2 linked regions of the Oryctolagus cuniculus genome follow. The protein of the gene in region 2 interacts with the protein of the main gene of each other region in a pairwise test. Links are inferred from orthologs where the notes say so. Each region holds a gene or a part of one and is shown on either strand. Other genes may lie near its edges. The genes, in order: PRTFDC1 and MCMBP.

Evidence for each region.
Region 1: the proteins of MCMBP (region 2) and PRTFDC1 interact in binary tests that used the Homo sapiens proteins (3 or more experiments, as listed by UniProt). The two-hybrid records come from large-scale screens. The link is inferred for Oryctolagus cuniculus from reciprocal best matches to the Homo sapiens genes MCMBP and PRTFDC1.

Annotation. Positions count from the first base shown.
Region 1 is NC_091444.1:104,725,731-104,729,542, reverse strand, and holds part of PRTFDC1 (phosphoribosyltransferase domain-containing protein 1), read right to left. Parts: intron 2,412-3,812; coding exon 2,305-2,411; intron 1-2,304. UniProt on the Homo sapiens protein: Has low, barely detectable phosphoribosyltransferase activity (in vitro). Binds GMP, IMP and alpha-D-5-phosphoribosyl 1-pyrophosphate (PRPP). Is not expected to contribute to purine metabolism or GMP salvage.
Region 2 is NC_091446.1:10,866,809-10,870,620, reverse strand, and holds part of MCMBP (mini-chromosome maintenance complex-binding protein), read right to left. Parts: intron 3,645-3,812; coding exon 3,472-3,644; intron 2,818-3,471; coding exon 2,694-2,817; intron 966-2,693; coding exon 848-965; intron 1-847. UniProt on the Homo sapiens protein: Associated component of the MCM complex that acts as a regulator of DNA replication.

The sequences.
Region 1 (3,812 bases), on a different chromosome or scaffold from region 2:
TTTCTCAGGTTTATTTGGTCAGGGACCTTTTCTCCCTCTGAGGATCAGACCTGCTTTAGCAATCTATGGGAAACCACCCTAGGCCAAGAAAAACCCCAAACCACAGCTTATCGTGTATTATACTGTAAGTCAGGAGAGGAAACATCACGCCTGTGGAAGTTCCATCCAATGGCAAATCTCAGAATTTGGGGGAATGAAATTCCTCTTGGCTTCCCGACAGACTGATAGGATGGTATTAACACAAGTACACGGGCCAGCGCCGCGGCTCACTAGGCTAATCCTCCGCCTTGCGGCACCGGCACACCAGGTTCTAGTCCCGGTCGGGGTGCCGGATTCTGTCCCGGTTGCCCCTCTTCCAGGCCAGCTCTCTGCTGTGGCCAGGGAGTGCAGTGGAGGATGGCCCAAGTGCTTGGGCCCTGCACCCCATGGGAGACCAGGAGAAGTACCTGGCTCCTGCCATCAGATCAGCGCGGCGGCCATTGGAGGGTGAACCAACGACGAAGGAAGACCTTTCTCTCTGTCTCTCTCACTGTCCACTCTGCCTGTCAAACACACACACACACACACACACACACACAAGTACACGGACAAACTATGCAGGGCGGCCGCTGGGTGTAGTGGTTAGGACCCCACTCGTGATGTCCATATCCCATGTATCACAGTGCCCGAGTTCAAGTCCAGGCTCTACTCCCGATTCCAGCTTCCTGCCAAGTGCACCCCGGGAAGCACAGCTGGAGCTCAAGCACTTGGGCCCCTGCCACACACAGATGGAGTCCCAGGCCTCTGGCTTCGGTCTGGCCCAGCCCTGGCTGCTGCAGCCATTTGGGGAGTGAACCAGTGAATGGAAGACCTCTCTGTCTCTCCTTTTGTCTTTCTGCCTCTCGAGTACAACAAGTAAACAAAAAACTATGCAAGAAATTCAAAATTCTTTTGCACCAAAATAAATTTAATCTTTCAACTTCCACTCTTCCATGAACTTTCTGAAGCTCCCTCCTATCCTAGGAACCATGACCGTTGAATGCTTTTTAACTTTTCTTTGGCTTTGAGGAGCTATTTATTAAAGTTAGAGCTGAATTCAGAAAGCTTTTTTATTTTTTTAACAGATCAAAAATATATAAAAGCAGAGATACTATGGTGTAAGCAAAGGGTTGCAGTGAGAAGTCAAACTTCTCCCTATTGCTGACTTCACCCCAAATTCTGGTCCCCCGAAGAATCCGCAGGGTTCCAGAGAGTTTCCCCTGAAAAGCAGGATGCTTGTTCACCACTGACATGTGCAGGTCACGGCCAGCACGTGGCCTCCCAGGTTAAGCTGCCACCTGCAGTGCTAGCACAGGCGCTGGTTCGAGTCCCGTCTGCTCCACTTTCAATTCAGCTCCCTGCTAATGCTCCTGGGAAAGCAGTAGAAGATGGCCCAAGTGCTTGGGCCCCTGCACCCATGTGGGAGACCCAGATGAAGCTCTGGGCTCCTGGCTTTGGCCTGGCTCAGCTCAGGCTCTTATGGCCATTTGGTGAGTGAACCAGTGGACAGAACACCTCTTTCTCCATCTCTCCCTCTCTATATAAATCTTTCAGAAATAAAGAAACCTGCAGGACTCTGTACTTGACCTTCGCACCAGAAATCTGAGGCCCACAGAAAGCAACTCAAGTTCTTGGTGCTGATGCAGGCTTGTTAAGGATCTGACCTATTAATCATTGGTGTGGTAGGACTGAACAGGAGGAGCTAAGTGGGGGTGACACAGCACAGGAGAGAAAATGTTGGTTTCAGGACAGGCCATCAGCAAGGAAGAAGCCAGAGGGTAGGGATGTAGACACATCAGGAAAAAAAAAAGATTCTGTTCTAGAACTCGTTCTCAGTATATATTTTAAGCTGCAAATACTACTATTCCCACCAGTGGTTAGAAAACGCCGCTCTCCGCACACCAGCCCACCTGGGATGCATGGTTTGGCGCAAGAGAGATCAGCATTGCAGAAAAATCCAGGGGTTCAGGGGGTACCCTAGGAAGTGAAGATTTCCTCCTGTTCCTCCCTGGTTAACTGGGACACAAACCCACGCTTTCCTGGCATGATCATCTGTAGGGGACCCTGTAGTCTCCAGACTGTGACAGAACAGCGACACACACACACACATAGCCTTTGAACATCCCGCCTGAACACACACGCAGGTAAACCACTCGGCACACGCCCAGACTCAGTCCGTCCCCAATTTGCTGTCCGACACCACTTCTCTCTGCCACCGTGAAAAGGGACTCGGGCGTCTCACACGATTCACGCACGTGGGCGGGCCAGCCCAGCTCACTCACTCACCTGTCCACGATGATGCCATGCGGTATGAGCACATACTCCAGGTCGCCGGAATAGTGCTGCGGGTACGTGAACAAGTTCAAGTCGTAGCCAGGCCAATCGTCCTTAATCTGCAAGAAGCGAATCATTTCAGTGAGGGTGTTCTGCACTGGGAATTCATCTCGAATCAAACAACGGAAAGGATATCATTTGGAACACAGACAACTGAACACAGGGAATTAGACCCTCTCTCTCCCCCAAGGAAGGGCTCCCTGGGGCCAGGCTGCTTGTCTGCTACAGCCTGATATTTGTTTATGACAACAGATACTTACAATGACCTAATACAGGACTTGGCATTGAAGGAAAGACAGCACTTCACTCCTGAGTCTTGACAGTGTAGTTAAGAATATAAACTCAGAGTCTCATGGCAAACCTGCCAGGACTATTTATATAAGTAAACATGGGATTTATATATAAAATTGTCACAAATATACCACCATAAAGAGTAACTATATACTATGTAGCAGATCATCATGTTACATTAATATATGCATTTTTATATAGGCTATTACATTTCTGCTGGCTCTAAGTAACTCATCTGCCTGAAAAAGATTATCAATTAAAAGTGCATCATTGGGGCAGCGCTGTGGTATAGTGGGTAGAGCTCCTATCTGCAGTGCCAGCACCCTATATGGGCACCGGTTCGAGTCCCAGATGCTCCACTTCTGATCCAGCTCTCTGCTGTGGCCTGGGAAAGCAGTAGACGATGGCCCAAGTCCTTGGGCCCCTGCATCAGTGTGGGAAGACCCAGAAGAAGCTCTTGGTTCCTGGCTTAGGATCGGCGCAGGTCTGGCTGTTGCGGCCATCTGGGGAGTGAACCAGTGGATGAAGACTTTTTTCTCTCTCTCTGCCTTTCAATTAAATAAATATTTTTTTAAACAAAAGTGCATTATCAGGGCCAGCACTGTGGCAGTGGGTTAAGCAGCCACCTGCGATGCCAGCATTCCATTCCAGCTTTCTGCTAACGCACACTTGGAGGCTGCAGCCGAGGACTCGAGTAGCTGGGCCCCGGCCATGCTTGTGGGAGACCTGGATTGAGCGCCTAGATGCCGGCTTCAGCCTGGCCCAGGCCCAGCTGTAGTAGGCACTGGGGAGTGAACCAGCACATGGGAGCTCTGTCTCTCTGCCATTCAAATAAATAACTTGATTTAAAAAAAATAACTTAATGAGACTGGAATGGCCCAGTAATTAAAGCGAAGGTATTGAAAGGCGTGTTCATGTGGGCACTTGAGCCAGGGCTACTGGGGAAGCGCTGGCCTAGCCTAGAAAACGGACCTGTTTGTAGCACGGACCGGGGGCAGCCGCTGCCCCGGCACTCCAGGCGTGAGGTTAGGCTTAGAACAGGCAGCAGGAGGGCAGAAAAGGAAGCCGGGTGGTCACGGAACACAGAGAGCAACGGAAGGGCCACACGCTCAGGGCAAGCCACACCCCAGCTATATTCTCAACTGGCTTTCTTCAAGGTCTCTGCACAC
Region 2 (3,812 bases):
GGTATATTAACACTAGGTTAAATGCCTAGCCCTGAGAGTACATTTTAAATTACATGACCTACAAAGGTTTGCTTTCCATTTAATCAGATTTTTTTAAAAAAGATTTATTTATTTATTTGAGAGGCAGGCAGAGTTATAGAGAGAGGAGAGACAGAGAGAGAGGTCTTCCATCTACTGGTTCACTCCCCAAATGGCTGCAACAGCCAGAGCTGGGCCAATTGAAAGTCAGGAGGCAGCAGTTTTTTCCAGGTCTCCCACGTGGGTGCAGGGGCCCACACATTTGGGCCATCTTCTACTGCTTTCCCAGGCCATCAGCAGGGAGCCTGATTGGAAGTGGGCAGTCAGGACTCGAACAAGTGTCCATATGGGATGCCGGCGCCACAGGCAGAGGCTTAACCTACTATACCACAGCACCAGCTCCAAAATCAATTTGTTAAAATCTAAAAGTTAGGGGCTGGTGTTTGGTCTAGTAATTAAGATGCCATTGGGATGCCTGTATCCCAAATCCGAGCACCTGACTTTAAGTGCTGGCTCTGCGCTGGAGTCCAGCTTCCTGCTAACAGACCCTGAGAAGCAGTGGTGACTGCTCAGACAGGCAGGTCCCTGCCACGGATGTGGGAGACAACCCAGACTGAGTTCCTGTTTCCCACCTTCAGCCTGGCCCAGTCCCAGCAGCTGCAGGACTCTGGGGAGGGAATTAGAGGATGGAGCTCTCTTTCTTTCTCTGCCTCCCAGTAAATAAAAAAAAAAAATTTGCAAGGTAAATATTTGGGTTGAATCAAAGATAGTCAGATGGACCTGCTGTGTGCTTAGGTTTATAATACATATTTATATTGACTGGTCTTACCGCTGGAACAAGATGTTGAATAATTCGATATAAGTGTTCTGTGAAGGTGCTGTTCCGTGGGCAACCACTCAGGTTAACTGTAAATTTTCCTAGAGGAAGAACATCTCTTCTTGTATATCTAGAAAAAATAAAAAATAGACCAATCTGAAGCGGTTTCCTTCAAAAAACAGATAAAAATTAGCTTGTGAATAAAAACAAAGCAGACTCCTCTGACCAGCTACTGTAGAGACCAGAATAACAACCATAAAGGTAACAGGCAGCACTCACACAAGTGCTGGGCCCGGACCCGGGCTGGGCCAGTGCGTCAGTGGGCTTTCATTTAACCCCAACATTTGGCGTTGGGTGCTCCTGGCTTTACAATTGAAAGTGTGAGGCACAGAGATTCTGAAGTACAGAATATCCCTTTATCCAAAACACTTGGAACCAACAGTGCCTGTCCATTTTTTTCAGACTTTGGAATACTTGCGTAGATGGCCAGATGAACAGCCCTCACCTGGACAGCCCAAACCCAACAGCGAGCAGCACGTGTGCGGGCTCACTGAGGGCTCAGCAGTAAGGATTCTTAGATGAGGGATGCGCGATCTGCTGGGAAGTGAAGCAGCGAGGACTGCAGGCAGGCGGTCTGGAACCAGAGGCTGTGACCCCGCCCACTACCCACAGCTGGTCTCAGATGCCCTCCAGGAAAAGTAAGATTTATAGCACACATAGGGTACAGCAGTGTCACTGACACCATTTAGAGAAAGGGTTACACTGTGGTACAGCTGCACACTAAACTCCTGTGCTGTCATGAAGTTCAGAGAAAATTACAATGGGAAACCGTTCAATGTATGTTAAATGCTGAAAGCAAGATGTGCACCCGTGTAACTGAGGTCTACGGAGGGGCGCACAGTACACGGGTGGAAACAGAGCAAGATGAACACAGGTCCAGCACGCTAACTCTGATCACCTGCAAGTGAACGAACTGTATCGGTAGGTGACTCCAGCAAGGGGGCTACAGAAAGGTCACGGAAAAATGGCAAGCTAGTGCAAAAGTATTTAGAAATTGAGACAGTTTTCCCATTTATGCATTTTTTCCCATGGACTTCTGAAGACCCACATTTTTTCTTCTTTATGTTCCTGGAGGGGCATATTACTTTCAAAATCAGAAAACAAAGGAATATACTGGAGGCAAACGTGAGATGCACAAATGCCATTGTCCAAGTTAAATGGGCATATGAGGTACCCCACCAACTGTTTTTAGACAGTCTTGAAATGTATAAACAGAACTTCCAGTGTAAAAAAGACAAGACAGCTTATTTTGGGGCCAGCATTGTGTCACAGCAGGGTTAAACAGCTGCCTGCAACACCAGCATCCCATATGGGCGTCGGTTCATGCCCTGGCTGCTCCACTTCCAAGCCAGCTCCCTGCTAAGGTGCCTGAGAAAGAGCGGACGATGACCCAAGTACTTGGGCCCATGCCACCAACATGGGAGACCTGCATGGTTCAGGCCTGGCCTTTGCAGCCATCTGGACAGTGAACCAGTGGATGGAAGATCTCTCTCTCTGTCTTTCCCTCTAATTCTGCCTTTCAAAGAAATAAATCTTAAATTTTTTTTTCAATAAAAAAATAGCTTATTTTACTCTTCAGACAGGTCCTTTATTTGTTACTGGCTCTAAAATTCAAGGGAACATAATCAAAATATGGAACTGTGAGAAAAGGCGTTTGTTACCTGGTATGGCACTCGTCACAATGAACAAATAAAAACTATAAGGTAATAGGCCTAAGACACGAAAGTCAGAAATGTCCTGCTCTTTTCCACTTTCTGCACCCCACCAAACTCCAAGGACCCCAGGAACAGGCACTTACACTGTAGAGATGAGGTGCAATATAAGGTATTCCGCAGCCAGACTATCTCCCAAGAGGGCGTGAGTGAGGAATCCAAGCAGTTCTGCTCTGACTGGAGACAGTTCAGACATGAAACTTGAGACAACTGGAGGAGGAAGAGAGATCAGACTCAGAATACATGCTCCAGTCCGCTGCGGTTCCTTGCAATGAGGAGGGAAGCAGCAGCATGAAACACACTCCCAGTGTAGACTTAACTACTGCTCGGGAAGTAATGACAGTCTTCAAACTTAGGTTCTTTCAGGGCTGGAGCTGTGGCGCAGGGGTTAAGCTACCTTCTGCAGTGACAGAAACTTATATGGGCACCAGCCAAGTCCCGGCTGCTCTGCTTCCGATCCAGCTCCCTGCTGATGGCCTGGGTCCTTGGGACCCTGCGACCCAATTGGGAGACCCAGAAGAAGCTCAGGGCCTCTGGCTTCAGCCTGGCACAGACTCGGCCACTGCAGTCATTTGGGGATTGAACCAGCAGTGGAAGATCTCTTTTTCTTTCTCTCTCTCCTCTCCTCTCTCTGTAACACTTTCAAGTAAGTAAATCTTAAAAAAATAAAAACAACTTAAGCTCTTGCTTCCCATGTCCCATTACAAAGAAGAGAATCAATCTAAGAGGAAAACTGGGCAAAGCAGCAACCATTCCTGGTAGGGCAAACTTCCTGATGAAGGTAGGGGGAGCTGCTCCGAATTCCACAGGAGCACTGGGCTCGGGCACCCGGGGCGCCTGGGGGCTCCAGGCTTCTGCACTTACAGGCTTTGCTCTCTTCTTTATTAAGGCAGGTCGGCAGCAAAGGGTTGATGTGCTGCAACTTCTGGGCTAAAACCACGTGGATCCTGGGCACCAGCGAGGCAGGCGGGCTGTGCACGCGCTGCTCTTCGGCCGCGTCTGTGCACTCCATCGGGTCCAGCTGTGCAGAGGCATCCCTGTGGAGAGATGACTCGGCTCGGTACCCAGGGGCCGCCTCGGTGGAGGCACCAAAATGAAATGCATCTCCGAAGACAAAAGGAGCATTCGCACCAGGAGCACTTTTACATGTGCGTCACCTTAAAGGAAAGAAATGGGCTCCTCTTTTTCAAAATGTTACAGCATAC